Linked DNA regions of Callithrix jacchus. The main gene of each other region encodes a partner of the protein of the gene in region 7 in a complex. Links are inferred from orthologs where the notes say so. Each region holds a gene or a part of one and is shown on either strand. Other genes may lie near its edges.

Region 1 (3,500 bases), on a different chromosome or scaffold from region 7:
GAAGAAGGCACAACAAAGGCCTTGGCGCCACCTGTGACTCCCTCCTTCATGTCCAGGCTCAATAGACATATGTGGGTTCCTTGCAACTCAATTGATATCGAAAGATATTTGCAAATATTATCTCAAGAACATCACAGGGAGGATGATAGAGGGCACATGCAACAACACGAGTATCCATTTTCTTTGATGCCCACAGTTAGAGAAACGAATTCTTTAAGATGGATTCAATTAAAAGACAAATACTGTGCTTTAACCCAGAGTGATTCTGCACGGTTGTCATAGCTTTTTCACTAACTCTTTGCCTTTAAGCTATGTTTTTATGGAATGGACTGAAAATATTAAGTTGGGAACAGTACAGAGTATGATCATGTTTTACATAAAAAACAAAACAAAAAATGCAGCTACACACAGATTGTTTGTATAACATCCAGAAAAGCCTGGAAGGCCACCTAGTCTATACAACATAGTGGGTGCCTCTGGAGGGAGGACTATGGGAGAGAAGGGAAGAGGTTCCACTCTTCATTCACTGATGGATTTGTTACAATGAGCATTACTTTTTAATAGGAAAAACAAGAACAATACTCCGAAACCACCCCCAAAAAAGTGGGTGACTTAAGAAAAATTCTAAAGTTCAAGATATGAACTTACAGGAAGATACTGGACCACAGTTCCATTCTGTTTTCCCACTGCCAGCTGCTTTCCTTTGGGGCTCCAGCACACTGAGCAAAGACAATGTTACCAAATAAAAACAAGAAAATGGAGCAAACCAATGAGATCTATCACACACAGCTAATTATCACTTCTCATTCCTCTGTCAGTCCATGGAAGATTGTAGGATCATCCCCACCCGACAAAATGGAAAAAAGTAAAATTATTTTAAGGATATAAGCCAACTGATTTATCACTGGGCTATTGAATTGAAAGCTAAAAATGCTTTTTCAATAAATTACTGCCCAGAAAGCTGCAAAATACAGAAAACTCTGTAGTCTTTAGATAAGACAAGGAGAACACAGAAGGTTTCCAAACATCAAGAAATCATTGGCTGGGCGTGGTTGATCACGCCTGTAATCCCAACACTTTGGGAAGTCAAGGCAGATGATCACCTGAGGTCAGAAGTTCAAGACCAGCCTGGCCAACATGGAGAAACCATGTCTTTACTAAAAAAATACAAAAATTAGCTGGGCAAGGTGGTATGCACCTGTAATCCCAGTTAAACTGGAGGCTGAGGCAGGAGAATCACGAGAATCACTTGGATCTGCGAGGTGGAGGCTGCAGTGAGCCAAGATCATGCCACTGCACTCCAGCCTGGGTGACAGAGTCAGACTCTGTCTAAAAAAAAAGAAAGAAAGAAATCATTCTCCTGCTCCTATTTGATATTCCAAATGCCTCTCCCCATGAAGGTACAAGTGACTTTTGGAGTATCACCATTATAGATCCAGAAGCAATTATTCTCAAAAACAGTTTCAAACCAGCTATACCAAAAGATTTCTCCAAAACCCAAGTATATTCAGGTTAAATTATGTATGCTGTTTGGCTTCAAGGACAGTAAGTATGGGAATAAAGAATACTCTTAGCCAGGTGCAGCAACTCACACCTGTAATGGGAGGCGGAGGAGGGCAAATCATTTGAGGTCAGGAGTTTGAGACCAGCCTGGCCAACATGGTGAAACCCTGTTTCTACAAAAAAATACAAAAAATTAGCTGGGTATGGTGGCACAGGCCTATAATCCCAGCTTTTTGGTAGCCAAGACACAAGAATTGCTTGGACCCAGGAGGTAAAGGCTGCAGTGAGCCAAGATCATGCCACTGCACTCCAGCCTGGGTGACAGAGTGAGACTGTCTCCAAAACCAAAAAAACCTCCACTCTTTTTTTTTGTTTTCTTTTTTTTAATGGTTATTTTTTCAAAGTTCCACAAAAAACCCTCCACTCTTAACCTCCTGTCATGTTTAAAAAAACAAAAAACAAAACCACACACACACACACACACACACACACACACACACACAAGACGAAAAGCTATCCACTTTTACTTCTAGAAATCAATTCTTAAGTAGACTGCCATTATTGTATGTTACAGTGTGAGAGCCTTTGTTACTCACCAGAGGTTACTGCTACTGTAGAAGGAAGTGTTGCACACACTTTCACTGTTTCTGTGACTTGCAGGACAGCAATACTACCATCAGCCAGACAAACTGCCACCATGGAGGGGACAGTGGGATTCCACTTCATATCAATCACCATGCCTCCTGCATCTTTCAAAAGCTTATGATAGGCAAATGGGCGTTTCTGCTGTTTAGCCTTTTAAAACAAATATGCAAAAGTGGAATAAGTTAACAAATTAGTAAATGCAGAGACATTTAATATTCTATGGAAATTACCGAATATACAAGTTATCTCAAATTAGTTTTTCTCCATAACCATAAAAAAAGACTTAGCTTTATATATCTATTTGCTATAGACAGTTTTAACACAACTTAGAAAATGGCAATCAATTATTCATTTTTTTGAGACAGGATCTCCATCTGTCACCCAGGCTGGAGTGCAGTGGCGCAATCCTGGCTCACTGCAACCTCTACCACCCGAGTTCAAGTGGTTCTCCTGCCTCAGCCCCTCAAAGTGCTGGGATTACAGGCGTCAGCCACCACACTCAGCCAGCAATCAGTTATCCTAACATGTTCAGGGAGACTCTCAGCAGGGGAATGCACAAATGCAAAATAACCAATAAATAGCAGACATGAGATTAAAATCTTGGCTCTGCTTAACAGTGTTAGGACCTTGGACAGTTACTTAAACTCTGAGCCTCTTTCTCTACCTATAAAATGAAGATAATAGTACCTACTACATAAGGCAGTGGTAGGCATGAACAAGGGACAAGACATATAAAGCACTTAGTACAGAGTCTGACACACTATTACTATTATCATTCTTAAACTGCTTGGAATGGAAGAACATTGCATTATGAGGCTAAAGACCCAAAGTGTAGGAATTTTTGACATTATCTATTACAAATTTGGGCAAGTCATGTAAGTCTCCTGGTAACACCTTGGGGCAGATAGTGTTATGAAAGAATTTCTTAAAGTCCCTTCTGTCTCAAAAATCTATGATTCTATAATTAAGGTGTTTTTTTTTTAAATCCCATATTTTAATCTAGAGAAAGACTTCAAGGGTTATACTATGAAGCTTCCAAGTTATAATTCAACACAGGGAAATCTGCTTAGGGTTCTCACGTTGATATCACAGTATAAAAGTAGCTTACCTCATTGGAGAATGTGCGAACATCAAAAAAAGCAATAATGGAACCATATTCACCGGACATCATGCACACAGAGAGTGTGAGGTTATCACAGCTCAAGGCCAGGTGATGGATTGGGAATTTCATAGGAACTAGCAAGCCTTGGACTTTATCAACTATGAAAACAAAAAAATACAAAGCAAAAAAACAGTATGTTCTAAGCATAAAGCCACAACCTCTAACCAGGTCAATGTGAAAAAATATATTT
Region 2 (3,500 bases), on a different chromosome or scaffold from region 7:
CATGTATATGTCACACTGTGCACAAATTTGTATATAATACAGAGTAAAGAGCTAAGTACAAATTGCACATTAAAATGCTTGCAGTGGGTAGTAGTCACAGGATTTGGGTGATTTTGACTTATACCTTATTTATGTTTTCTAGTTTTATTACAAATGTAATATAACATAAAATTTAAATTTTAATAAACAATGTTTAAGGTCTTAAAAAGAGAATCAGAAGACGTAGTTTGGCTGGGTGCGTTGGTTCGTGCCTGTAATTCCTGCACTTTGGGAGGCAGAGGCAGATGAACCACCTGAGGTCAGGAGTTTGAGACCAGCCTGACCAACATGGTGAAATCCCGTCTCTACTAAAATACAAAAATTAGCCAGGCATGGTAGCGGGCGCCTGTAATCTCAGCTACTCAGGGGGCTGAGGCAGGAGAATTGCTTGAACCCGGGAGAACGAGGCTGCAGTGGGCCAAGATCATAGCACTGCATTCCGGCCTGGGCAACAAGAGCAAAACTCTGTCTCCAAAAAAAAAAAAAAAAGTAATGGTTCCTACTCTACAGGAACCAGCAATCTTCCTGGGAAGTCCACAATTAACACTCACAGGCTAGAAGCCGAAGAGAAATCCACAATTAGGGAGGAGGGATAGAAGGCATTCATTCAGTAGGAAGGGGAAAGGGGTGCAGAGAAAGACCATATTCTTTCCCTACCTGACTGCTGGGCCAGAGAGCAGGCTTCACTGATCCTTTTGCCTGTGAGGTAGCTGAATACAGCCTCCACAGGGCTGTTTTTTTGGGTTAAGGAGACTTCCTCTTCAATTTGCGGTGTGGCAGTATGGGATAGCCAGCGGGAGAAAGCTCTTCGCCGCTCTAGAATTTGAATGTATTTATTGGGTTCATCTAGCTGGCTGTCAAGCTCCTTCAGGTGGCCCCATAATGCTTCACATAATGTCCATGTCAGGCTCCAGTGCTTCACAACTAAGGCAGGAACAGAAAAACTGTTATGAGACAAAGTCTTACAACAGCTTCACAGAAGGCATCTTTCTAATTGTGATGTTAAAAATACATAAATTAACAGACATCTCAAACAACCACTCAAGTCAATTACCCTCAATCTGTCTCTACCTCACTCAGCTTTGTCTTACAATTTCCTGAAGTACATGGTATTCATAAATGCCTGCTCACACATGTATGTGGTACTTATATAACAAATGTAACTGTTTTTCTTTTTAATTTAAAGATGGGGTTTCACCATGATGGCCAGGCTGGTCTTGAACTCCTGACCTCAGGTGATCCACCCACCTCAGCCTTCCAAAGTGCTAGGATTACAGGTGTGAGCCACCGTGCCTGGCCAACAAATGTAACTGTTAAACAGGTTCCCCAAGCCTAATTATGACTAATGTCATCTCAGATGATATCTAATTTGATAAAATTCTGTCTACAAAATTCAATCTAAAAAAGTACTTTATCATTTAAGCCACTTACAAGTATGTATTGGTAAAATAACTTACACATTTGAAAAGATGATGAGATGGTTAAGTAAATACAAAGAACTGAATGAACATAAATCCCAAAATGTGTGGCATAAGACATTCTAAAACAACCCATTTTTCAATAAAGGTGATTTGCTAAACACTGTTTGAAATACTAACAAATTAGAAAATCCCTTTATCAAAGTATTAATTCAGAAAAACATGGTCACAATAGAGAAAGGTAACAGAGAAGCAAGGAAGAAGAATTACAACAAAGTTGTTGAGAAGATCAATAGTACTTGAGCTGGACATGGAAGAATGGATAGGATTTAGAAAAGCAAGAAGGAATGCATCTCTCTCCCTATGTTTTCTGGGTTGGGTAAGAAATGCAATTTTATAAATCCAAAGATTTGACTGGCTACAATTTTTTGTTGAAGAATTTGTACATTAACGGGTACAAGAACAAAGTGACAAGAACATAGTGACAATTTTTTCTTGCTTGGGAATCTGCTTAAACTCAACCTCAGAAAATGACAAGCACAGGCATTCACCTACTAGATTGGTGTCAGGAAATTCACCCCCCCGGTGAACATCCAGTAACACCCCATGACTGAGACATCAAAGATTAGAAACATAGTTCATACTCACTTTGTGCTTCGGGTAAGTCTCCTGATGCTTCTTTAACCCAATCTGCATAGTCATGAATGACAGCAACTCCCGGATTGGGGACAATGAGAGGACACAGTTCATCCACATGGACAGTGCTGTGTTTTAATTTGAGCTCCAGAGGTGTCTGGTATAATTTCATGTCTTCATCTGGCTTCCTTTGTCGCAAACTGAGTTTTTCTAAGTGAACTTTGAATGGGGACTCAGTTAGGCTACAAGAGCAAATGAGGAACAGAATAGAAAAGGAACATAAAACAGAAGCTAGGATTTCACTTCAACCAAACCAGTCTCCTTTTATGATTACAAACAGAATGCAAAACATTCCACTGTGCTTTGAAAGAAATTTTGCTTCTTAAACTATACCAAATTTATCTGCTATATACTGGAAATAAAAATTATCTGACCAATGCATTCAGAACACAAAAGTTTCTTAGGCCAGGTTATAACAAGCAAGAGAATCAGGTTATAACAGAATGAGAACTGGCTAAAACTCAAGTGCCACAAGTTATTGTGGGATGTCTGTTTCGCAAATTATACTTGGATATCAAAACTCACGAGGCTAAGCTTACAGATACTAAGGAACTGACTCTAAATTACAATGAGCAGCTAAGCTGGCCTTGATCCAAAAATTTTTTTTTTTGAGATGGAGTCTACTCTGTCGCCCAGGCTGGAATGCAGTGGCATGGTCTCAGCTCACTGCTACCTCTGCCTCCTGGGTTCAAGTGATTCTCCTGCCTCAGCCTCCCAAGTAGCTGGGATTACAGGCATGCACCACCATGCCCGGCTAATTTTTGTAATTTTAGCAGAAATGGGGTTTCACCATGTTGGCGAGGCTGGTCTCAAACTCCTGACCTCAAGTGATCCGCCTGCCTTGGGCTTCCAAAGTGCTGGGATTACAGGCATGAGTCACCGCACCTGGCCCCTTGATCCAATTTTTAAGATTGATATTAATAACCTTCAAAATTCACAAGGTAATACTTAACCTAGAATTAATAGCTAAATTTAGTATCACTATTCTTAGTTGTGAGGTTCAAGAGACATTGTTTTTCATTTTTTCAAAGTCATTTTAAAAAGGAAGGATAGGCTGGGCAGGGTGGCTCACTCCTATAATCCCAGCAAGTTAGGAGGCCAAGGCTGGAGAATCACTTGAGCTCAAGACAACATGGTGAAAAGCCCATCCCTACAAAAAATTGGCCAAGCATGGTGTGTACCTGTAGTCCCAGCTACTTAGGGGGCTGAGATAGGAAGACCACTCAAGCCCAGGAGGTGGAGGCCTGTGCCACTGTATACCAGTCTGGATGACAAAGTGAGACAGGGCTTAAAAATATGTAATTGGCCAGGCGTGGTGGCTCACGCCTATAATCCCAGCACTTTGGG
Region 3 (3,500 bases), on a different chromosome or scaffold from region 7:
ACTTCTTTGTTTCAATTAATTTAATTATGATGTTTAATGCCTTTATCTCAGGACAGACAATTAGGCAACTCATCTTTACTACAGGATTTAGAATAGGCTGCCTTATACTTGTCTATTTGTTTTTCCGTGCTCCAAATGCTTTATAGTTCCTTATCCACTGTATAAAAGTAAAGCATTAGGGACTCATCAGGCAAACAAACCAGTTCTGGGGCAGAAGAGATGCAATCTCTGCACTGGATGAGGAGGTTGAACTTTTAAGGTCTGTTTCAATGTTAACATTCCTTGTTTAAAGTTAAATCCATGCTCAGTTCCCATTCTTACCAGGTATGTCATAAGGAGGTAGCTTAAGAACAAAGATTCCCCCAGAAGCACATGGTAAAGCAAACAGGGCCTCCCCATCACTGCTAAGCCAGGCTGTTGAGGTGGTAGAATTAGGAGATATTCCAGGTACTGCTGGAATTAATTGATAGTTGCAAGGATCTGTGAAATCAACTTTTCCAATGTCAGTGAATATTGACTGCATCTGACTTTCAACTACCAACTCCTGTTGAGTAATTAAAAAGAAAAATCTATTAAATCAAAATAACCAGAATTTTGCTGTTTCTCTCTATTGCTAAAGAAGTTTTTAAAGTAAAAAACTGTCAAGCTTAAGAAGAAAGCTATTCTTTTTAATGAAAACTAATTCTCAACTTAAAATGTATCCCTGATGATTTTAAGTGATAACTATCAAAGTATGCTTGGTGAGGGATAACAAGAATCCAAATTTCCTTCGGTTCCAAAGGATATTGCTCTAGCACTCGATCTGTGACACCCAGAGTAATTTGGGAAATAAAAGGTATTGTACTTAGCCAACTTACACTCCTATACATCCGGGAAGGGTGTGGTAAAAGTAACCTGTGCACTGTTTGATTGGTTAACATCAGGATTATTACATGATTCTGAGTCTCAGAGACATAAACCCCTCCAGGTAAGACATTGCAATTTTGGAATTTTAGGCGAACAGCATTATTCAACAGATTTACGTCCAGTGACTCCTCCACCAGCTCCAATGTATCTCCAGAGGTCTTCCTGTTAAAAAAGAGACATTTGTTTGAAAACTTTATGCTTTTCTTTCTCATTGACTGTTGCACTGAAATATATCAGACTAGGCTGGTCTCGAAGGTCTGATCTCATGATCCGCCTGCCTGGCCTCCCAAAGTGCTGGGATTAAAGGCGTGAGCCACCAAACCCAGCCTAGCTAAAAGAGTTTTAATATTTATCAGATCTTGCTAAGGAATACACAGCCCAGTGGAAAACACAGTTTAAAGCAGAACCAGAAAAAAAGAACATTTTGTTAAAAATTTTTAAAAACCAGGGCCGGGCGTGGTGGCTCAAGCCCGTAATCCCAGCACTTTGGGAGGCCGCGGCGGGTGGATCACGAGGTCAAGAGATCGAGACCATCCAGGTCAACATGGTGAAACCCCGTCTCTACTAAAAATACAAAAAATTAGCTGGGCGTGGTGGCGCGTGCCTGTAATCCCGGCTACTCAGGAGGCTGAGGCAGGAGGATTGCCTGAACCCAGGAGGTGGAGGTTGCAATGAGCTGAGATTGCGCCATTTAAAAAATTTTTTTAAAAACCTATCAATCCTTAAAAAAAGAGCTTCAAAGTGACAGAAAATAACTCATGGTATATCACATGCCTGAAGAAGAAATGACAATACATACTGTGCTTAAACAAAACCAGAAGTGTGCTGGGATGCAGGTAACCTTCTTCAGGTGCAACTCTGCCGGGTGTAGGTCTAGAACCATAGCACGCAGCATTGCTGGGAGTGCCTTAATTTCCCATTGCCATATCTACCGTATCACCTGCATCCTTTCCAAAAAAGAAGGCTTCTTCCAGCAACTAAAGGCTAACTTCTGGCTTTCTCTGCATATTTCTCCTGTATCTGCCTCTCCTGCTTCCAGGGCCTTCCATCACCATTCAAATAAGCTGTTTTCTGGCCTCCCCTCACTCACAATCCAGTTATCCCATCCTCTCCATTCCCCTTCATGGCCAACCTTTCTCTTATTTCCTCACATCACTCCTACTCTTAAGCCTACTAAATCTGGCTTTTGCCTCTGCCACACCCTCTTCTTGTCAAAGTCAATATACCAATTCCAGTGGACTCTTCAGTCTTTCTCTTACTTGATCTTTTTTTTTTTGAGATGGAGTTTTGCTCTTGTTGCCCAGGCTGGAGTGCAATGGAGTGATCTCAGCTCACTGCAACCTCTGCTTCCAGGGTTCAAGCGATTCTCTTGCCTCAGCCTCCTGAGTAGCTGGGACTACAGGCACTTGCCACTATGCTTGGCTAATTTTTGTATTTTTAGTAGAGACGGGGTTTCACCATGTTGGCCTGGCTGGTGTCAAACTCCTGACCTCAGATGATCCAACCGCCTAAGCCTCCCAAAGCGCTGGGATTACAGGCGTGAGCCACAGTGCCTGGCCCTCTTACTTGATCTCTCAGCACCATTCCACATACTTAATCTTGCCTTCCTTTTTATTTTTTATTCTTTTTTTTTTTCCTCCACACTACAGAAGCCTTTCTTTTTAAAACAAACTCTTCTCATGAATCCTATGGTACTACCCTCTCCCAGTTTTCCTCCCACATTCCTGTCCATTTCTTCCCCTTCTCCTTGACCTGACCCCTATATAGACTAGATTTCCTCAAACCTGGATCCTGGATCATCTTCTCTCACTATACACTTTCTTCCAAGGCACATCTTATCTACTCCCAAGGATGTAAGTACCTTTTCATGTCTGATGATTTCCCAGAGCTACTTTGCTTCTGATAACTCATGGCATTAGCATAATTTTCTGGATCCTCAATTTCATCTCTGAATAATTCCTTCGTTTTCTTGCCTTATGGTATAATTTGGATCCTGGATCTCCCGTGAGGGCAGTGACCCCAGAGTTTTCTCTACCATGCCCTTTGCAGTGGGGCCTCAAGGGAAAAATACAGATGTCCTTGCTCCCCACTGGCATTCTAGGTCACTGTTCCTCCTCTCCTACCCGAACCACTCAGCTCTGAAGCTCATGGAATCAGATACCACCTGCTACCCATGCTCATTGCAGTTGATTTTGGCTGCTGGCCCACTGTCACTCTCTCCCATACTACTCTTGCCATAATTCTTAATGATTTCAGTATCAGGGCCAGGTACAGCGGCTCATACCTATAATTCCAGCATCCTGGGAGGCCAAGATAGAAGGATTTCTTCAGCCCAGGAGTACGAGATGAGCCTGGGCGACATAGAAAGACCCTATCTCTATAAAAAAAAAAAAATTAGCCAGGCATGGTGATGCCCGCCTGTAATCCTAGCCACTTGGGAAGCTGAGATGGGAGCTAGGAGTTCAAGGTTGCAGTAAGCTATGACTGTGCTACTGTACTCCAGCTTGGGTGACAGACTGAAACTTTGACTTTAAAAAAGAGCAAATAAATGAACAAACAATATCCAATTATCCTAATACTCCACCTTCTCAATT
Region 4 (3,500 bases), on a different chromosome or scaffold from region 7:
GGAACCATCAACCCAAAAGTTAATGACCTGGCACTGCTGGGTGTCGGGTCCTCCATGCACTGGTCTTCCTGAAGTCAAGTCCTCCAGACACTGCATCAGCTCATACGTCTGTTCTGCTGAAAAAATCACCTAGGGAAGAGAAACTGCCTTGCTTGGCTGCTCCCCAGCCAGGGGCCCACGTTCGCATGTTCAGACGTTCTTCCTTTCATGCCCTTTGGAAAGAGTGCGCTTTGTATAGGAAGACCTCATTTCAAACTAAGCGATATTTCCCATGTGAGTATGGAATTCCAGAGGGTGCTGAGGGGAATACATGCATGCAGGCAGAACGACTGGGAGAAACATGCATGTCGGCAAGAGCTACACACTAAGCTCCAGCAGGGACTGACAAGCAAAGCAAACCAGCGCTGCTGCAACCTTCACCTGTTTCTGTTCCAAAAGGGGCAGGGCATCTGTCAGCAGAGTCATCCAGAAAGACCGAGGGGCAATCTGAGACGTCATCAAGGACAGAAGGAGTGAAGCTGCATCGGCAAAACGCTTCTCCCCATACACACGGTGGAACTCGCGATACTTTCCTATAGCAAAACAAGAGCGCTAGATCACCTGCATATTCCCCCAAATCGCTCAAGTGACACCTACAAAAGTCGCCCTGGCCCTAACGATTTGAAAAACCCCAGACAAGCCACTCCAGCAAGCAAGAGATATTTCCAGAGCTGTCTCTGAACAGGCCAATGAGATGCAGACCAAGAGTGTTCAAAACAGACTTCGAATGAAATGCAAAGAGTCAAATCTGGGGAAACGTCAGTGTCAAAATACGTAACGAGTCATGGGTTAAGAGACTGACAACTGGGCGCAATGGCTGACACCTGTAATCCAGCACACTGGGAGGTCAAGGCGGGCAGATTACGAGGTCAGGAGTTCTGAGACCAGCCTGGCCAACATAGTCAAACCTCGTTGCTACTAAAAATACAAAAATTAGCTCAGCATGGTGGCATGTGCTTGCTGTAGTCTCAGATACTCAGGAGGCTGAGGCAGGAGAATCACTTGAACCTGGGAAGCAGAGGTCGTGGTGAGCCAAGATCATGTCACTGCACTCCAGCCTGGGCAACAGAGCAAGACTCCATCTCAAAAAAAAAAAAAAAAAAAAAAGGCGGGGATTGGCTAGGCCAGGTGCAGTGGCTCATGCCTGTAATCCTAGCACTTTGGGAGGCTGAGGTGGGCAGATCAGCTGAGATCTGGAGTTTGAGATCAGCCTGGCCAACATGGTGAAACCCCATCTCTACTAAAATACAAAAATTAGCCAAGTGTGATGCCACATGCCTGTAGTCCCAGCTAGTGGGGAGGAGGGGGGCTGAGGCACAAGAATTGCTTGAAGTTGGGAGGTGGAGGTTGCAGTGAGCTGAGATCACACCACTGTACTCCAGCCTGGCAGCCTGGGTCACAGTGTAAGAAAGGAAGTAAGGAAAGAGAACAGAAAAGAAAGGGAAGGGAGGGAGGGGAAAAGAGGCACTAAGGAGATACTACAGCCAAACTCATGATCCTAGGCATGATGGAGGACATTTCTGGGACCACCGAAGCAATGGGAATATAGGAAGGAAGTGCTGGGAGAAGTCTGGTGTGATCCCTCCAATCTCCCCAACTACCCACTTTTACCCAAAGCATGGGGCACAAAACCCAGACACTCACCCAGGAATGTCAGTCGGTCACTGAGCATCATGGCTGGCCCCAGGTTGTCGATGAGATCCAAATCAGAAAAGCAGCCTCGCTCACAGTAATCCCTGAGGAACCTGCAAGGCCCGGCCCAGAGATCAGAGCAGTAGTCTCAAGCCTACCTCACCTGCCCAGTCCCTGGGAAGCTAACACCAGTGGCACCCACCGGTCTGACACAAGCGTGGCAAAGGCGGCATCCTTAGCGCGGATGCTCCAAGAGAGGGCAGAACCCAGGCGATTGTTGCGGACGGCTTTCATGGCTAAGATCTTACAAATGCTGCGAACTTTGCAGGGGAAAAGAGAAAAGGTGAATACTTTCACCCCACAAATCCATTCCTGAGCCCTGTGGGGACTGGAGTGGCCTCACAGCCTCACTCCACCCCAAGCCTCTCTGTGGGCTCTAAACACAGCTGAGTCAGCAGAGCTGGAAACTCAGGGGCTGATTAATAGTGTTGGTGCCCATCACAGCAGGACTGGCCCTGTAAGTGTGTGGCTTCAGGGGTAGCAAAGGACGATTTCTGTTTCTCTCTACAAGTCAGCCCTTTTGTTACCTCTTTAGATACCTCAAATCCCATCTTCCTGTGGGTCATGAAAACCATATGCTTTCAGAAATGGTCTCGAACATACAACTGCCTCTCTGTAGGGTAGTAACTCATGTTTTTATCAACAGTGAGGGGAGAAAGGAAGGGGCAGACTTGGTCATCCTCATTCCACTCTCTATGCTTTTCTGAAGCCACCTCCAGCACTGTTCCCCACTGAGTCAGGCTGAGCTAGCAACAGCAACCCACCTGGACGGGGAAACAGTTACCAACCCTAGCTTTGACATCGTGGAATCAAGTGTGTGAGAGAAGAGGCAGCTCAGGCCTTTGCAGGTGGCGTGTAGATTTTGTCTGGGTTCCAGTGGATCCCTACCTTTCTTGTCCCTCCCAAATAATGATCCTATCTCCCAGCTTACCTCTTGGCATCCATAGCCCCACCTCTCCCATGTGGCTGGGGAAGAGGGGGATGGCGCGGGGTAGGCAGGGTAGGCACAAAGTATGACCTCAGGGTCTCCTGACTTCCGTGTCCCACACAGTAGGCTGGGAGTTGGGCCAGCTCACCTTGTTCAGTCATCTGCCGCTGCTCACAGATCCGCAGCACCTTGAGGGCTTTCTGCTCGGTGTTCAGAGGTATCCGCTCAATGTGCAACTCCAAGGAGACTCGGCCCAGCTCAGGGCAGTAATCAAAGTAATCCACTCCCAGCTGCCACAGGCTGCAGAGGTCCAGGAGGACAAACATGAAGTGCTACTTTGGCTCTGGGGACTGTCACCTGAGGCTCCCCTCCACTGACCCTTCCAGAGCCTTTACGGAGCCAACTGGGAGAGAATAGTCCAAGCTCCAATGACACCCACATGCTGAAGAGCACCCAGCACAGTACACACCCATGGGTTCCTTCCTACCTGGGATGAGCGAACAGTCCCGAGGCGTACTCCAGCAGGAGGCACTCTCTCATGTTGGAACCAAAACTGAAATAAAATGTAACAAAAGACCAAGACTCCTGGCCTGGCCTGTTCAGGGCCGCCTTCCTCAGCCCAACCTCCCTTCTAGGCATTGGTGGTGAGGAGAGGAGGATCCACGCTGCCAGGCCACTTACTAGAGGTTGTGTGACTGGAGGAGTTTGCAGTGGTCCAGCAGGTCCGTCAGGTGGGCCACAAACCACCAGTTGCTCAGGGCGATGCTGCGGATTCAGACACCAAGGCAAGAAGGAAAGTTAGGCCAGAGGTGGTATCCCATAAGAGTGGGGGTGAGCAATA
Region 5 (4,142 bases), on a different chromosome or scaffold from region 7:
GTTGCAGCGAGCGAAGATCACACCACTGCACTCCAGCCTGGCCAACAGAGCGAGACTCCATCTCAAAAAAAAAAGAAAAAAGTTAGCCAGGCATGGTTGCACATGCCTGTAGCTGACATGCCTGTAGTCTCAGCTACCTGGGAGGCTAATGTGGGAGGATGGACAGAGCCCAGGAGGTCAATCCTGCAGTGAGTCATGATCCCGCCACAGCACTCCAGCCTGGGAGACAAAAAAAGACCTTGTCTCAAAATAATAATAATTATTATTATTATTAATGCCCTGTGCAGTGGCTCACGCCTGTAATCCCAACACTTTGGGAGGTGGAAGCAGGGGAATCATGTGAGCCCTGGAGTTCAAGAACAGCCTGGGCAACATGGTGAAACCCAGTTTCTACCAAAAATGCAAAAAATAAATAAATAGCAGGTGTCATGGGTGCACTTGTGGTACCAACTACTCAGGAGACTGAGGTAGAAGGATGGCTTGAGTTCGGGAGGCGGACATTGCAGTAAGCCGAGATAGCACCACTGCATCCAGCAAATGACAAGAGATCGATCCCATCTCAAAAAAAAAAAAATAACGTAAAAATTAAAGTGTAATTTCAGGAGTTACAGGTACCCTCAATAAGGTCTGTTTTAGACTCTATCACTATGTCCACATTTATGACTATGCTAGCAGTTTGAAATTACAATGTACAAGTAGGAATAGATAGTCCTCTTCTCTGGAGGAATAGACTGTAACTTACTTCAGTGTTCCCAGGACCCAATGCCAAAATTCTGCTGCGCTACCTATTTGACCCTGAACAAGTATCTTTAATCTCCACAGTTCTCAATATCCACAGGGTTCAAGTATCTTTAATCTCTACAGGTCTCAATTTCCACAGGGTTGCTGAAGTGCAAAATAAGGTAATCTATGCTTAGTTATTATAAAAGACACAACTGTGCTACTATAATAATCAGGATCACCCAGGGCTTTCCATTACGTTTGTTTAACGGAGTCTCCCTCCGCCTCGATTCTCCTGCCTCAGCCTCCTGAGTAGATCGGACTACAGGCGTGCACCACGCCTGACTAATTTTATTTTTAGTCGAGACAGAGTTGGGACCACCATGTTAGCCAGGCTGGTCCCAAACTCCTGACCTCAGGCAATCCGCCGGTAGGCCTCCCAAAGTGCTGGGATTACAAGCATACGCCACCGGGCCCGCCCGCAAGCCGTTCTTTTTTAAAAAAAACTTCCTTACAGATCTTTATTCTCCTAGGCCCTTGCACAGTAGAGACTTTGAATAAATATCCTTTTATTTATTTACTTTTTGAGATGGAGTTTCGCTCTTGCGCCCAGGCCAGAGTGCAAAGGCCAGATCTCAGCTACTGCAACCCCCGCCTCCTGGGTTCAAGAGATTCTCCTGCCTCAGCCTCCTAACTGGGATTACAAGCGTGTATCACTACACCCGGCTAATTTTGTATTTTTAGTAGAGACGGGGTTTCACCATGTCAGCCAGGCTGGTCTCGAACTCCTAACCTTAGGTGATCTGCCTGCCTCGGCCTCCCAAAGTGGTGGGATTACAGATGTGAGCCACCACGCCCCGCTAAATCCTTTCGACATCAACAATAAAAATAGTGACTTGCAGCTAACATTTTAATACTATGTGTCCAGCACACACAACCCTAAATGTTTAAAATGGATCACCCTATCAAATTCTATCAGTTACAACTCCATCTATGGATGAATAGTGTAACCTGTACCAAATATCCAACTTACAAAAGACAGCGCTGTGGTTATTCATCAAGCCAAAGCAAACTGACTCAAGATTCTGTGCACATTCACCTTTAAATAGCTTCTTCCATCACTCTTTACATCCAAATACTAAAGTCTTACTGAATCCAAAAGATATCATATTATTTACCTTTAAAAAGGAAAAATACCCTAAGAACATCTGTGGAAAAAGTTAAAAATTCTAAGGCATAAATTTGCAAGAAATCTAGAATTTTTTTTTTTTTTTTAAACAAAACACAAAAGCAGCTACCGAAGTGTTCTGGGTTCGGGGGACAGGGGTGAGTATGAAGAGTGGAGCTAGACCCTTATAAAGGGACAGCGACAAACACCTCAGCCTTAAAGCAAGGGGACTTCCCGTATCATTTGCGCTGTCGAGCCGTGGCAAATGTCTGCGTTGAGATGTCACCCGTCAGAGTCGCCAAAGCTCACCCCGGAGCTGCGTCAGTCCTCACTGGGTTCCACCAGGCCAAGGAGGTACGACCTCCGCCGCAGCATGTAAAGTAAATGTCCGGGAGATGGAAAGAACCCCGCCGGATACAGCATCCGAGACTTTGGTGCCCAAGCCCCAGAGAACTAGGCCGCGCCGGTCCCAGCGGTGCGCGACCGGCCAGAAAGCCAGGGCCAGGGTGGGCCCACGAGCGAGGACCGTCCGGAACAGGCCGGAAGAAAGAGGAAGCGCCGGCCCGCCGCGGCCCAGCCAGGACTCCTCTGCACTCGCCAGCGCCACGCCGCCCACAGGGCCGCGCTGGCCGGCCAGCGCCTCAAGAGAGCGCGCCACGGAGCAGTGCTTGTCAGGAGCCATGACGCCCGAGCCGCGGGAGGCCGCAGCCGGGCCAGGTCGAGACAGTAGGTTTCTTCGAGACCCACTCACCTCTCGAGGCGACGGGGCAGAGCCCTGGACCGAGGCGATGTACCGCTCCACGTCGGCCTTGCTGCGCCTCATCGCGCCGCCAAGCTGGCTTCCGAGGCGCGGGAGTCAAACACTCAACCCCGCAACGGTCGCCAGTTCCAAGAGCAAAGCGCCTTCAAGCCAGTGACGCAGTGCCGTCGCCGGCGGAGGACCAGTCTAACGCACTTGCGTATGCGTCAGCACTGTGCGCCACGTTGGCGACGTCGGCGCTCGCGCCGCACATAGCGGAGCTCCTGGCAACTTCCTGGTCGCGGAGCCTGGTCTTGGGTAGCCGGCGCCAGCGTCCATCACGCTAAGGTAGTAGGTTTCCAACAGATAAAAGTTTGCGTGCTGAGCTCTTAAGCCTTTTGGTTGCTTGTTTTAAATTATAAATGCTCTATGCATTGGAAGAAAAAAGCACTGCGGCCGATTTTGTGAGCTTGTAAAGTGGAACAACGTTTCTGGAGATGACTGGTTAAATACGTTGCGTTGGACATGTGTGTGAATACGAAGCATACATTTTTAAATTAATACCTTTTAAAAGAAATAATAAATTTTAAAGTGCATATATGAAAAAGTAGACCACAAATACTAAATTTTGAACAATTACAGTTTTTTAAACACATCCGTCGGCAGAGGATTGGTTCCGGAACCACCTGCTTATACCAAAATCCACGCATTCTTCCGGGCGCTGTGGCTCAAGCCTGTAAGCCCAGCACTTTGGGAGGCCTAGGCGGGCGGATCACCTGAGGTCGGGAGTTCGCGACCAGCCTAGCCAATATGGCGAAACACCGTCTCTACTAAAAATAAAAAATAAAAAAAATTTGGCGGGCGCCTGCAATCCCGTTATTCGGGAGGCTGAGGCAGGAGAATGGCTTGAACCCGAAAGGCAGAGGTTGCAGTGAGCCGAGATCACACCATTGCACTCCGGCCTGGGCAATAAGAACGAAACTCTGTCTCAAAAAATAAAAAATACAAAAAATTACCTGGGTGTAGTGGCGGGCGCCTGTAATCCCAGCTACACCGGAGGCTGAGGCAGGAGAATCGCCTGAACGTGGGAGGCGGAAGTTGCAGTGAGCTGAGATTGCGCCACTGCACTCCAGCCTGGGCGAGAGTAAAACTTCATCTAAAAACAAAACAAAAATCCGCGCATTCTCAAATCCCGCACTCGGTCCTGCAGAACTCTTAGAGAGGGTACTCTCTAAACGCGGGCCTCTCGAATACTGTATTTTAAGTCGGCTTATAAGTGGACCCAGGCAGTTCAAACCATGTTATTTAAGGATCAACTGTGTCTATAGTAATAGCCATTTGCCCGGCACAGTGGCTCAAACCTGTAGCCCCAGCACTTTGGGAGGCTCGAGGCCAAGAGTTCCAGTTTACAATTAACTATGATAGCGCCACTGCATTCCATCATGGGCACCAGAGTTTGACCCTTGTCTCAAAAAAAAAAAAAAAGGAATAGTCCACCAGATCTATATATATTTC
Region 6 (4,295 bases), on a different chromosome or scaffold from region 7:
CTACCCCCTACTTGGAATTCTTATGCTTAAAAATCCCTTGCAAAATTAGAAAAATTAAAACACATACTTATATTCACCTATCCATTAAGGCTATTAAAAATCTGAAAATGCTATCTTTCCCACTGTGCTAAAAGTCCCATTCTACCCTAAACCCAAATCTCTCCCTATACCTCGACAAATATAATTTACAAATCTCTCCCCACATCTTGACATTTTAGGTATTAAAGTTGACATTTTACCCATCAGCATGTGTCAACATCAAACAGCACTTAAATTTGCACCAGAGAAAGTGGATTGAGACTATGTTACTAACAAATCCAATTTTTAAGATTAAGAGACAACACTCCCTCAATCTGAATACAGTGAGTCACCAAGAAACAAAACAAAAACAAAAACAAAACAGTGAAAAGAATATGGTAAGAATAGTTTAAATTCCAGTTTGAAATCCTTTAATTATGTCAGTGAAAAATAAGCACCTTCCCTAGGAATATATTTTTACATTTAAAATACTATTCATTTTATCATGTGAAAAAGACTTTCTAAAAACTGTTAGGGGTTCTGTTCAGTTTTATTATAGCAACTAACTAGGAATGCTTAAAATGCCTTCATAGTTCCAAACCAGTTTAGTCAAAATAATTATTTAGAAATGCAATGTAAAGCAACTGTCAAAATGCAAATCATTTTAACATAAAAACAAATATTTTAAAGTATACCATTACCTTTAATTCATGGTAATCTATTGCTTCATCTTTGTCTGTATCAAATAGTTCAAAAGCATCTTTAATTTCTTGTTTCTGTTCCTCAGACAATTCTCGTCTTTTTTTCCTCTTTGTTTTATCTACTACAAGCTCGCTTCTATGAAATGGAAAGAAAAAAATCCTTAAATTAAAGGAGAATTAAAGTCTACTTTAATTCTCTTTGCTAACAGAAATTAGCCAATAATTATTTTCTAAATTTTAAAAAAGAAAGTACTTTGGAGAAAGATAGGGAAACTTTCCCTTTATGAGTCAATGCCCTGTTTACTCCATAATCTAAATTGCTATAAATCTGAACTTCCCAAAACTAAAGATTGTTAAAGATTAGTAAAATAAATGAGGACCATACTTTTCCTTTTCCCAGCTTTTTATTTATTCCCACTAATGTTACTGTGGAAAAAACAAGAACTGTGAATAAGTAACATTGCTTTTATATCTGAAACTCCAACCAACTCTAACCAAAAAACAAAATACTCACATTATTCTAAGACTGTTAAAGAAAAATAACTCCAAACGAAACCAAAATTCATAGTTGACAGTCACTATATGTCGGTTTACTTTTGATAGCTCTTATAATTAAGTTCGTAAAAGTACTACAAAAACATACAACCGAATTAACTTAGTATTTTAGCATTGTTGGTTAAAAATGTTTTTAGATTACACCTTTCTAACAGTTTGGCAATTTGTCATTTCCTCCATCAATATTAACAAATCATTCAAAATATTAATGAGTCTAAACATGACAAATATTAGATGCCAAAAAAATACAATATTTGTGCTTCATTCTATATAAAAATGTGAAGAGTCTTGTCTCACTTAACATGTAAACTGGAGGTTAAACTTCTCATAAACAAACTCTGGAAAGCCTTAAAGAAAAAAAGTAATTTTTTTAAAGCCAGAAATATTTTCCTTTAAGAGTTGCCCATCTAAACATGCTCCAAATTTTCACAGGGGGATGCAACACTGGTATAAGAACAAGTTTGAAACCTATAATTCGATAACACATTATCATGTAAAAACCAGTTGACTCTATTTAAAACACGTATCTAGCTGCATTTGAAAGTCATTTTGGTCTCTGAAAGCTAGGAAAAAAAAAAAAAAAAAGGCCAGGAAGTGACCAGTAGGTGCAGTATGACAAAGCTGATGAAGCTTCCTTTCATGAAACCTGACTTGACACAAATTTGGGTATTCCTGGGGTCAGTCTTTTCCTTCCTGAGACTTCTAGAGGCCAAGTCCAGAACCGACCCACCCCCTGACCCCATTCAAGGGTACGATTATCCCTTAGCAGAACATGGAACATTTTTATTGTCCTAAGTATATAGTTTTACGGTACAACTTCTACAAAGGGTGAGAGGGCAACATACAGAGGGTTAGAGGTTAGAACTGAAAGGCAAAGAAATGCAAGAAGCTGAGGAAATCCAAGTGACAGTTTGCCAATTAAATTCACTAAAATGGGTCTCCAACTACACCATAAGGCAACGCCCTGAGAAATGAGGAAGAAGGAGTTTTGTGTTATTGCCAAAATTTATAGGTGGGTGATTTGCATTAGCAGCGAAGCAGCCGAGGCGGGGCCCTGGCCAGCTACACGAATTGAATGAAGGGATGTTCCGCGGCCTGGTATCTCACAGAAACGAGTAAAAGCCTCGCGATATTTCATTCCCTCCGCGCTCGCAACTAAGCCCATCTTTTTGGCAGTCCAAAGCCCTACGCGCTGACAGAAATAACTTCCTCAGTAGAAACGCACTGGACTCGATCCCTGCAAGGCACCAGGGCCCAGAGGGTGACTGGTCCGGGTAAGCTACCCTAGGCTCCTTTCCCGCGTCCCGAAACTGCATCCCCTACTTCGCCTCGGCCCCAAACGGCCTCCCTTCCACACCCTCCCTGCGTCCCGCTCCGGGGTGTGGAGAACACTGCCGCCTCCTTATTACCGACCTCAGAGCTAAACTCATTATCTCTTCGGACAGAGACGTTCCTCTCAAGAACGATTTTAACCCCCTACCCAAGACAGCAAGACTTTCACAGCCGTTCAACAGACACGAACGACCTTAGCGGCCTAAGGGACCTCCCACAACATAGACACTTTTGAGCTGGATTGGTTGAAAAATCTCCACGGTTCTGCCTATTCGGGCGGAAGCTTCACAATTCTCTGTTTTCATTGGGTACGTTTTACGTCAATCAGAGAAAAATGTTTCTGTCCTTCACCCACCCATTTCTCGGGCTGCTCTCGCCCTTCGGATTGGCTCGATGCCTTTTTCCCCGAATCCTTTGCGGGTCCGGCCTCTGATCCCTGCTGGATGTGCCCGCGGTGGGTGGGTGCTAGTCGTGTCTTGCTTGAAGCCCTGAGGTCTGTGGGGCCGACGTTCGGAAACTGGACACACAGCTCCGACGGAGGGAAGGGAAGGGACACGCTGCAGGCCACCCTCCGGCTAGGAGGGAGTAGCTGAGGAACAAGATCTGCGAAACTTGGCTCTGCTCTGTTCTAAAACTTTGGATGACCTCAGTACCTGGGGAAAGTGTTTAAAATGCAGATTTAAATGCCCCTTTCCCCATTCTAATTTCAGTAGGTATGAATCTTCGTTTTTACCCCTCACAAGCCTTCCAGGTGATTCTGAGGCAGGTACTGTGACTATACTTGGATTATCACAGGGTTAGATTATTAGGCTATTTATGGTGAGGCAGTATCTAAACCACCCTTCCCTTTCGGTTTCCTCCTTTGAACTGTTTAAAACGGATTTATTCGTTTCTCTCTCTTATTTTACAGTGCTGTAAGCTGTTTATACACATGAGACTGTCTTTACTACCAAACCAAGTCTCTTGAAGCTCACTTGAATGTCTTCTTATTCATCTCTCTTACTAGGTTCAATTTCTTGAAGGCCATGATTATTATCTGTTTAAGGCTTTTCTTTGTACCTAGTAAAATGGTGCATAGGTGCTCTGTAAATTGAGTGGAATCTTTTGAAAACCCGCAAAATACTTAGCTAAACAGCAGATCTCATAAACGTGAATAAAATAGCCTGAGGATGGGAGTTGAAGGCAGAGGATAGTATAAACATTACATGTTTAAGGGATGTATATAATGGTTTAGAGAAGAGAGAGAATACAAGATAGGCTTCTTAAAGGAGGTGGCATAAATATTAGACCTAGAAAGATGAGCTAAATTTGCATAAGTAAGGATAGTATGATAGAACAAGCTAAAAATTAGTTAAGGTTTAGCACCCCTAAAAATCAAAGTGGAACTTTTATTTTGTTCATACTGTAAATTTTAAGGTACTTTTATAAATCGCCTTTGAGTTCTAAAAGGAAAGAGAAATTACAGTTACTAGAACCTAATGATATTGAAAAAAACTATATGTTAACATTCTAAGATACAGACCAAGCTATAGGAGAACATTATTTTAAAGAAGAAAGGATAAAAATAAACCAAGCATTTATCTGAAGATGTTAGAAATGAAGAAGAAAATTGTATAATTGAAATTAGAAAGAGGAAATTAGTAAAGATAAAGTTTGAGAACAATGTTTGAAAGGAAATTGTTCAAATTG
Region 7 (4,161 bases):
ATTGCTTGAACCCGGGAGGCGGAGGTTGCAGTGAACTAAGATCACACCACTGCACCACAGCCTGGGCTATAGGGAGAGACTCCATCTTGGAAAAGAAAGAAACTTCAACCAACCAGAAGTTCAGCAAATTAAAACTGAGCACAAAATAACTACATTCAAACTGAAAAATAAAATTACCAAATACTGTTCCAAGAATTCTTTTGTGAACCACAGGAAAACAATCCAGTTAAAAAAAACAATAAAATAATACTTACACTATCCAGTAACTTACCAAGGAAGATACAAGCACAAAGTGAAATGGATGTGTGTTTACTTTCAACTGTTTTTTAAAGGTATGTAAATTGATGTGCAAATTACTTTCCCCTTCTCTTAGGAGTTTTCTGAATCATGTCAATGTACTTTTTGGCATTTATCTTCTAATGAGCCACTGTTAACCTTTTAATAGTCCTGTCCCAATAAGACTGTGTACCTTCATTATGAGGTAATACTAGAACAAAAAGTATGTCATAATTTTTTATTGATGGCATTTATCCCATGGTTTAACATGTTAATTATACTGTAATAAACATGGCTTTAATATTAAACTTTTCCTTATTATCCAAAGTCACCACAGTCCATTTTAGTAAATATAAAAATATATGCTTAATACTTTGTACAATACTGGTTTTTGGTCCAAACAAAACTGGATCAGAAAAGCCAATAAATTCAACTTTAAGAATCTCCAATTTTTTTTAAAGATTTCCAAATGGATTTAGGCAACTTTGAATAATGGGACTTATATAATAAAATCTGAGACAAGACTAAACAAACAACAAAAAAATCTCTAACACAAAATTCAAATTTCAAGTTCACAGATTTATGTTATGCCAAAAAAGTACAGAAACAAAATTGTATTTACACAAGTTTCATAATAAAATAATGAAAAAGGCAAGACAGGTGATAGAAGAATGAAAATATAGAAATAGCATGTAATTATTAAATGGAGAATGAACTAGATCTAACAAGTCCTTAGCACGGACCATTCTTTAATCAGGCTTCCTCTATCAGAAAAGTTTAGTGCACAATACACCCAACTCACTCACTTCACACATACACCAGCACAAACTCAGCATAGAAATCATCCATTTCAACATTCTCTAATCTATACAGAATTCTAATCTATACAGAATTCCTCAGATATAATTACAATTTCAACGCGTTCCGTAAACGCTTATCAGCGCACATAATGGTGTAGACAAAGAGGTTCTATACAAAGCCATTTGCCGTGCAGGCTCCATTCCTGGGAACAGCCAGACTATGTCAAATCAGTGAATAATCTGCTGGATCATAAAATATTTTTGCTGCAGAATCAGTCACCAGTCTAGCTATTATTTTTAAAAAGAGGGTAGATGAAGCAGGGTGGGGCTTCTGTAAAGAAAGGGAAAGGAGGAAAAATCCAAAATTAAAGAAGTCCTTAGGCAGATCTGACTTCAGATAACCCTAGCGCAAAGTCCAACTCAGTATCTGAAAGCAGGCACGAGCTGTTAAAATTGCGTATAACACCAATGTGACCTTTATTTTCTGCGTCTAACAGCAGTCTTTATCTTGCGGCCAGGGACTGCAGTTCCAGAAGATGAGAACACATTTTTCCCATTTGACCTGTAAAAAATAAAAGCTTCATAATGTGGTATGATGCTCGGAGCAAAATTTCCGAATCCTAACATTTACCATGAGCAGCAGCAACTGTTATATACATTTTCTGCTATACCTAACACACGCATTACTGTTTCTTTTCTCAAACTATAATATAATCCTCCAGAATTGCAGTATGGTCAATTTATGTTGGAGAACATATTTAATTTTACCCAAACCATACTGGATCTTGGTAACTTTTGAAAACAAAATATATACATGTACATACCCTAACCAATGTAAATTCTCCATTTCAATAAAAAATTCTCTTACCCCACTGTAAATGCTGGAGACGGGTTAAACGGAAAGCCCCCCGAGCCTGAAGGCTGGGCTGAGGCTGCAGGTGTGCTAGAATTTGCACCAAATGTGAACACTCCTGATGGATTGTTGTTTGTGAAGTTGAAATTTGTAGTGCTGCTGCCGAACTGGAAAACCGAACCTATAAGAATTGAAGCAGAAATACTTCACTAGGGCAAAATGATACGTTTTGAAATTAATGACTCTGACCTCTACATATAAACACATGCAGACAATTAAGATATTTTGGTCTCTTAATCCAAAGAAAACTAAAATATTTTCTCCACTAACACACAGTACATACTTGACACCTCCAACAAATCACACAACTTACCTATGACCAAGGGGAAAAGGGCAGCCTGGACTTCTGGTTAAAGATAGTGAAATCAATAAAGACATTTAGCTCTATCTTCTTTGAACAGTGCATTAAAACAACAAGGGATTTTTACAAAGATAGAGAGAGAGGTGACCACAGCAACAAAGGTTTAGAAGCTGGAAGGCTGATAGAGTTGATACGGAACTAGCAGCAGGTAAAGAACAGAAGCAATTGCATTTATACCAAACATACCCAAAACGTTTAGGTTCCAAATACCTCTGGAAGTGAGAATTAAGGCAGGAATTAAAAAAGAGAGAGAGGGGCCGGGCGCGGTGGCTCAAGCCTGTAATCCCAGCACTTTGGGAGGCCGAGGCGGGTGGATCACGAGGTCAACAGATCGAGACCATCCTGGTCAACATGGTGAAACCCCGTCTCTACTAAAAAAATTACAAAAAATTAGCCGGGCACGGTGGTGCGTGCCTGTAATCCCAGCTACTCAGGAGGCTGAGGCAGGAGAATTGCCTGAACCCAGGAGGCGGAGGTTGCGGTGAGCCGAGATTGCGCCATTGCACTCCAGCCTGGGTAACAAGAGCGAAACTCCGTCTCAAAAAAAAAAAGAGAGAGAGAGACAGAGAAAGGAAGGATAGCAGATATCCAGGACCAATCCCTCCCCTCCCAACACCAAGATAGTAATTCTCAGTGGGGTGCAGTGGTTCATGCCTGTAATAGCACTTTGGGAGACCAAGGCAGGTGAACTGTTTGAGCCCAGGAGTTTGAGACCAGCTTGGGCAACATGGAGAGACCTCATCTCTATAAAAAAATTATTTAAATTAGCTGGGTATAATGGTGTGCACCTGTAATCCCAGCCACTCAAGAGGCTGAGGTGGGAAGATCTCAAGCCCAGGGGGTCGAGAATGCAGTGAGCCCGGATTGTGCCACTGCTCTCCTGCCTGGTCAACAGAGTGAGACCCCATCTCAAAAGGAGAAAAAAAAAAGAAGACAGTAATTCTCCTCTTTCACCTCACCAGAACAGAAGTCTTTGTACAAGTGTCTGGACTGGGGAATACCACATATAGTTAACAGTAAGAATATCATTTTGAAAATGGGAATTAAGAGTAGGTTCAATATTCATTAAATACTAAGGGCTCCAGCCATCTTCCAAATCTTAACTTCCAGAACACTGGCAAATGGAAGTTCCCTGATGCCCTCCAAGCAGGAGACTGGATGCATCTTCTCTGGGGAATCTGACAGACTAAGTGGAAAGAAAGAAGGATACTAACATCCTTTCATCTAGTGAAATAGAGAAACCAGATAAATCTACAATGAAATTTGAGATCTGCAAGCCCTATCAACACAGAAAGGATTTAAGTGGTATTTAAGTGTCCTACACTCATAAAAACGTTAACTAGGTAGCCAAGGAGTACCAGACATTTGAGGACAGTATTTAATAAGAAACACTGAGACAAAAATAATAAAAGTAATTTTAGGAAAACTGACTCAGCAAGGAAACAAAACATCAAGGAAAAAAATCCAAACTCGGTGTCTTTAATGAATACTTCATCCACTGGGGGACTGGGTGGGGGAACACAGAGCATAAAAAAGAAACATCCAGAAAATAAAAAAGAGTACTTGGAAATTAAAGTCACAATAGTGGAAGTTAAAATCTCAACAGAACAGGTAATGAAAGATAAATCTCAGAAAGTACAACAAAAAGATAAAAGGTGAGAAAGAAAGGAATGATAAAGGGCAAAATCTTCAATAAATAATGCTGGAAAATTCCCCAAAATGTTCACAAAAGAGCATGCTGCACTCCTTACACGAAGGATAAAAATGGATACACATCAAGACGTCCTGATGTAACAGAACACTGGAGGCAA

What was found.
Region 1: NUP153 (region 7) and NUP214 share a complex: the UniProt entries of both Homo sapiens proteins name them as parts of the nuclear pore complex. The link is inferred for Callithrix jacchus from reciprocal best matches to the Homo sapiens genes NUP153 and NUP214.
Region 2: NUP153 (region 7) and NUP98 share a complex: the UniProt entries of both Homo sapiens proteins name them as parts of the nuclear pore complex. The link is inferred for Callithrix jacchus from reciprocal best matches to the Homo sapiens genes NUP153 and NUP98.
Region 3: NUP153 (region 7) and NUP160 share a complex: the UniProt entries of both Homo sapiens proteins name them as parts of the nuclear pore complex. The link is inferred for Callithrix jacchus from reciprocal best matches to the Homo sapiens genes NUP153 and NUP160.
Region 4: NUP153 (region 7) and NUP85 share a complex: the UniProt entries of both Homo sapiens proteins name them as parts of the nuclear pore complex. The link is inferred for Callithrix jacchus from reciprocal best matches to the Homo sapiens genes NUP153 and NUP85.
Region 5: NUP153 (region 7) and RANBP2 share a complex: the UniProt entries of both Homo sapiens proteins name them as parts of the nuclear pore complex. The link is inferred for Callithrix jacchus from reciprocal best matches to the Homo sapiens genes NUP153 and RANBP2.
Region 6: NUP153 (region 7) and CETN3 share a complex: the UniProt entries of both Homo sapiens proteins name them as parts of the nuclear pore complex. The link is inferred for Callithrix jacchus from reciprocal best matches to the Homo sapiens genes NUP153 and CETN3.

The regions. Positions count from the first base shown.
Region 1 is NC_133502.1:179,780,767-179,784,266, reverse strand, and holds part of NUP214 (nuclear pore complex protein Nup214), read right to left. Parts: intron 3,409-3,500; coding exon 3,257-3,408; intron 2,299-3,256; coding exon 2,100-2,298; intron 720-2,099; coding exon 649-719; intron 1-648. UniProt on the Homo sapiens protein: Part of the nuclear pore complex. Has a critical role in nucleocytoplasmic transport.
Region 2 is NC_133511.1:69,136,430-69,139,929, forward strand, and holds part of NUP98 (nuclear pore complex protein Nup98-Nup96), read right to left. Parts: intron 2,336-3,500; coding exon 2,106-2,335; intron 964-2,105; coding exon 697-963; intron 1-696. UniProt on the Homo sapiens protein: Plays a role in the nuclear pore complex (NPC) assembly and/or maintenance. NUP98 and NUP96 are involved in the bidirectional transport across the NPC. May anchor NUP153 and TPR to the NPC.
Region 3 is NC_133511.1:112,898,790-112,902,289, forward strand, and holds part of NUP160 (nuclear pore complex protein Nup160), read right to left. Parts: intron 1,069-3,500; coding exon 858-1,068; intron 545-857; coding exon 322-544; intron 1-321. UniProt on the Homo sapiens protein: Functions as a component of the nuclear pore complex (NPC). Involved in poly(A)+ RNA transport.
Region 4 is NC_133506.1:131,157,853-131,161,352, reverse strand, and holds part of NUP85 (nuclear pore complex protein Nup85), read right to left. Parts: intron 3,425-3,500; coding exon 3,341-3,424; intron 3,213-3,340; coding exon 3,147-3,212; intron 2,960-3,146; coding exon 2,808-2,959; intron 1,992-2,807; coding exon 1,874-1,991; intron 1,785-1,873; coding exon 1,684-1,784; intron 573-1,683; coding exon 421-572; intron 130-420; coding exon 28-129; intron 1-27. UniProt on the Homo sapiens protein: Essential component of the nuclear pore complex (NPC) that seems to be required for NPC assembly and maintenance. As part of the NPC Nup107-160 subcomplex plays a role in RNA export and in tethering NUP96/Nup98 and NUP153 to the nucleus.
Region 5 is NC_133515.1:20,391,147-20,395,288, forward strand, and holds the start of RANBP2 (E3 SUMO-protein ligase RanBP2), read right to left. Parts: upstream 2,801-4,142; 5' UTR 2,712-2,800; coding exon 2,640-2,711; intron 1-2,639. UniProt on the Homo sapiens protein: E3 SUMO-protein ligase which facilitates SUMO1 and SUMO2 conjugation by UBE2I. Involved in transport factor (Ran-GTP, karyopherin)-mediated protein import via the F-G repeat-containing domain which acts as a docking site for substrates.
Region 6 is NC_133503.1:120,374,677-120,378,971, reverse strand, and holds the start of CETN3 (centrin-3), read right to left. Parts: upstream 2,801-4,295; 5' UTR 2,705-2,800; coding exon 2,688-2,704; intron 856-2,687; coding exon 720-855; intron 1-719. UniProt on the Homo sapiens protein: Plays a fundamental role in microtubule-organizing center structure and function. As a component of the TREX-2 complex, involved in the export of mRNAs to the cytoplasm through the nuclear pores.
Region 7 is NC_133505.1:13,137,983-13,142,143, reverse strand, and holds the end of NUP153 (nuclear pore complex protein Nup153), read right to left. Parts: intron 2,111-4,161; coding exon 1,945-2,110; intron 1,639-1,944; coding exon 1,554-1,638; 3' UTR 501-1,553; downstream 1-500. UniProt on the Homo sapiens protein: Component of the nuclear pore complex (NPC), a complex required for the trafficking across the nuclear envelope. Functions as a scaffolding element in the nuclear phase of the NPC essential for normal nucleocytoplasmic transport of proteins and mRNAs.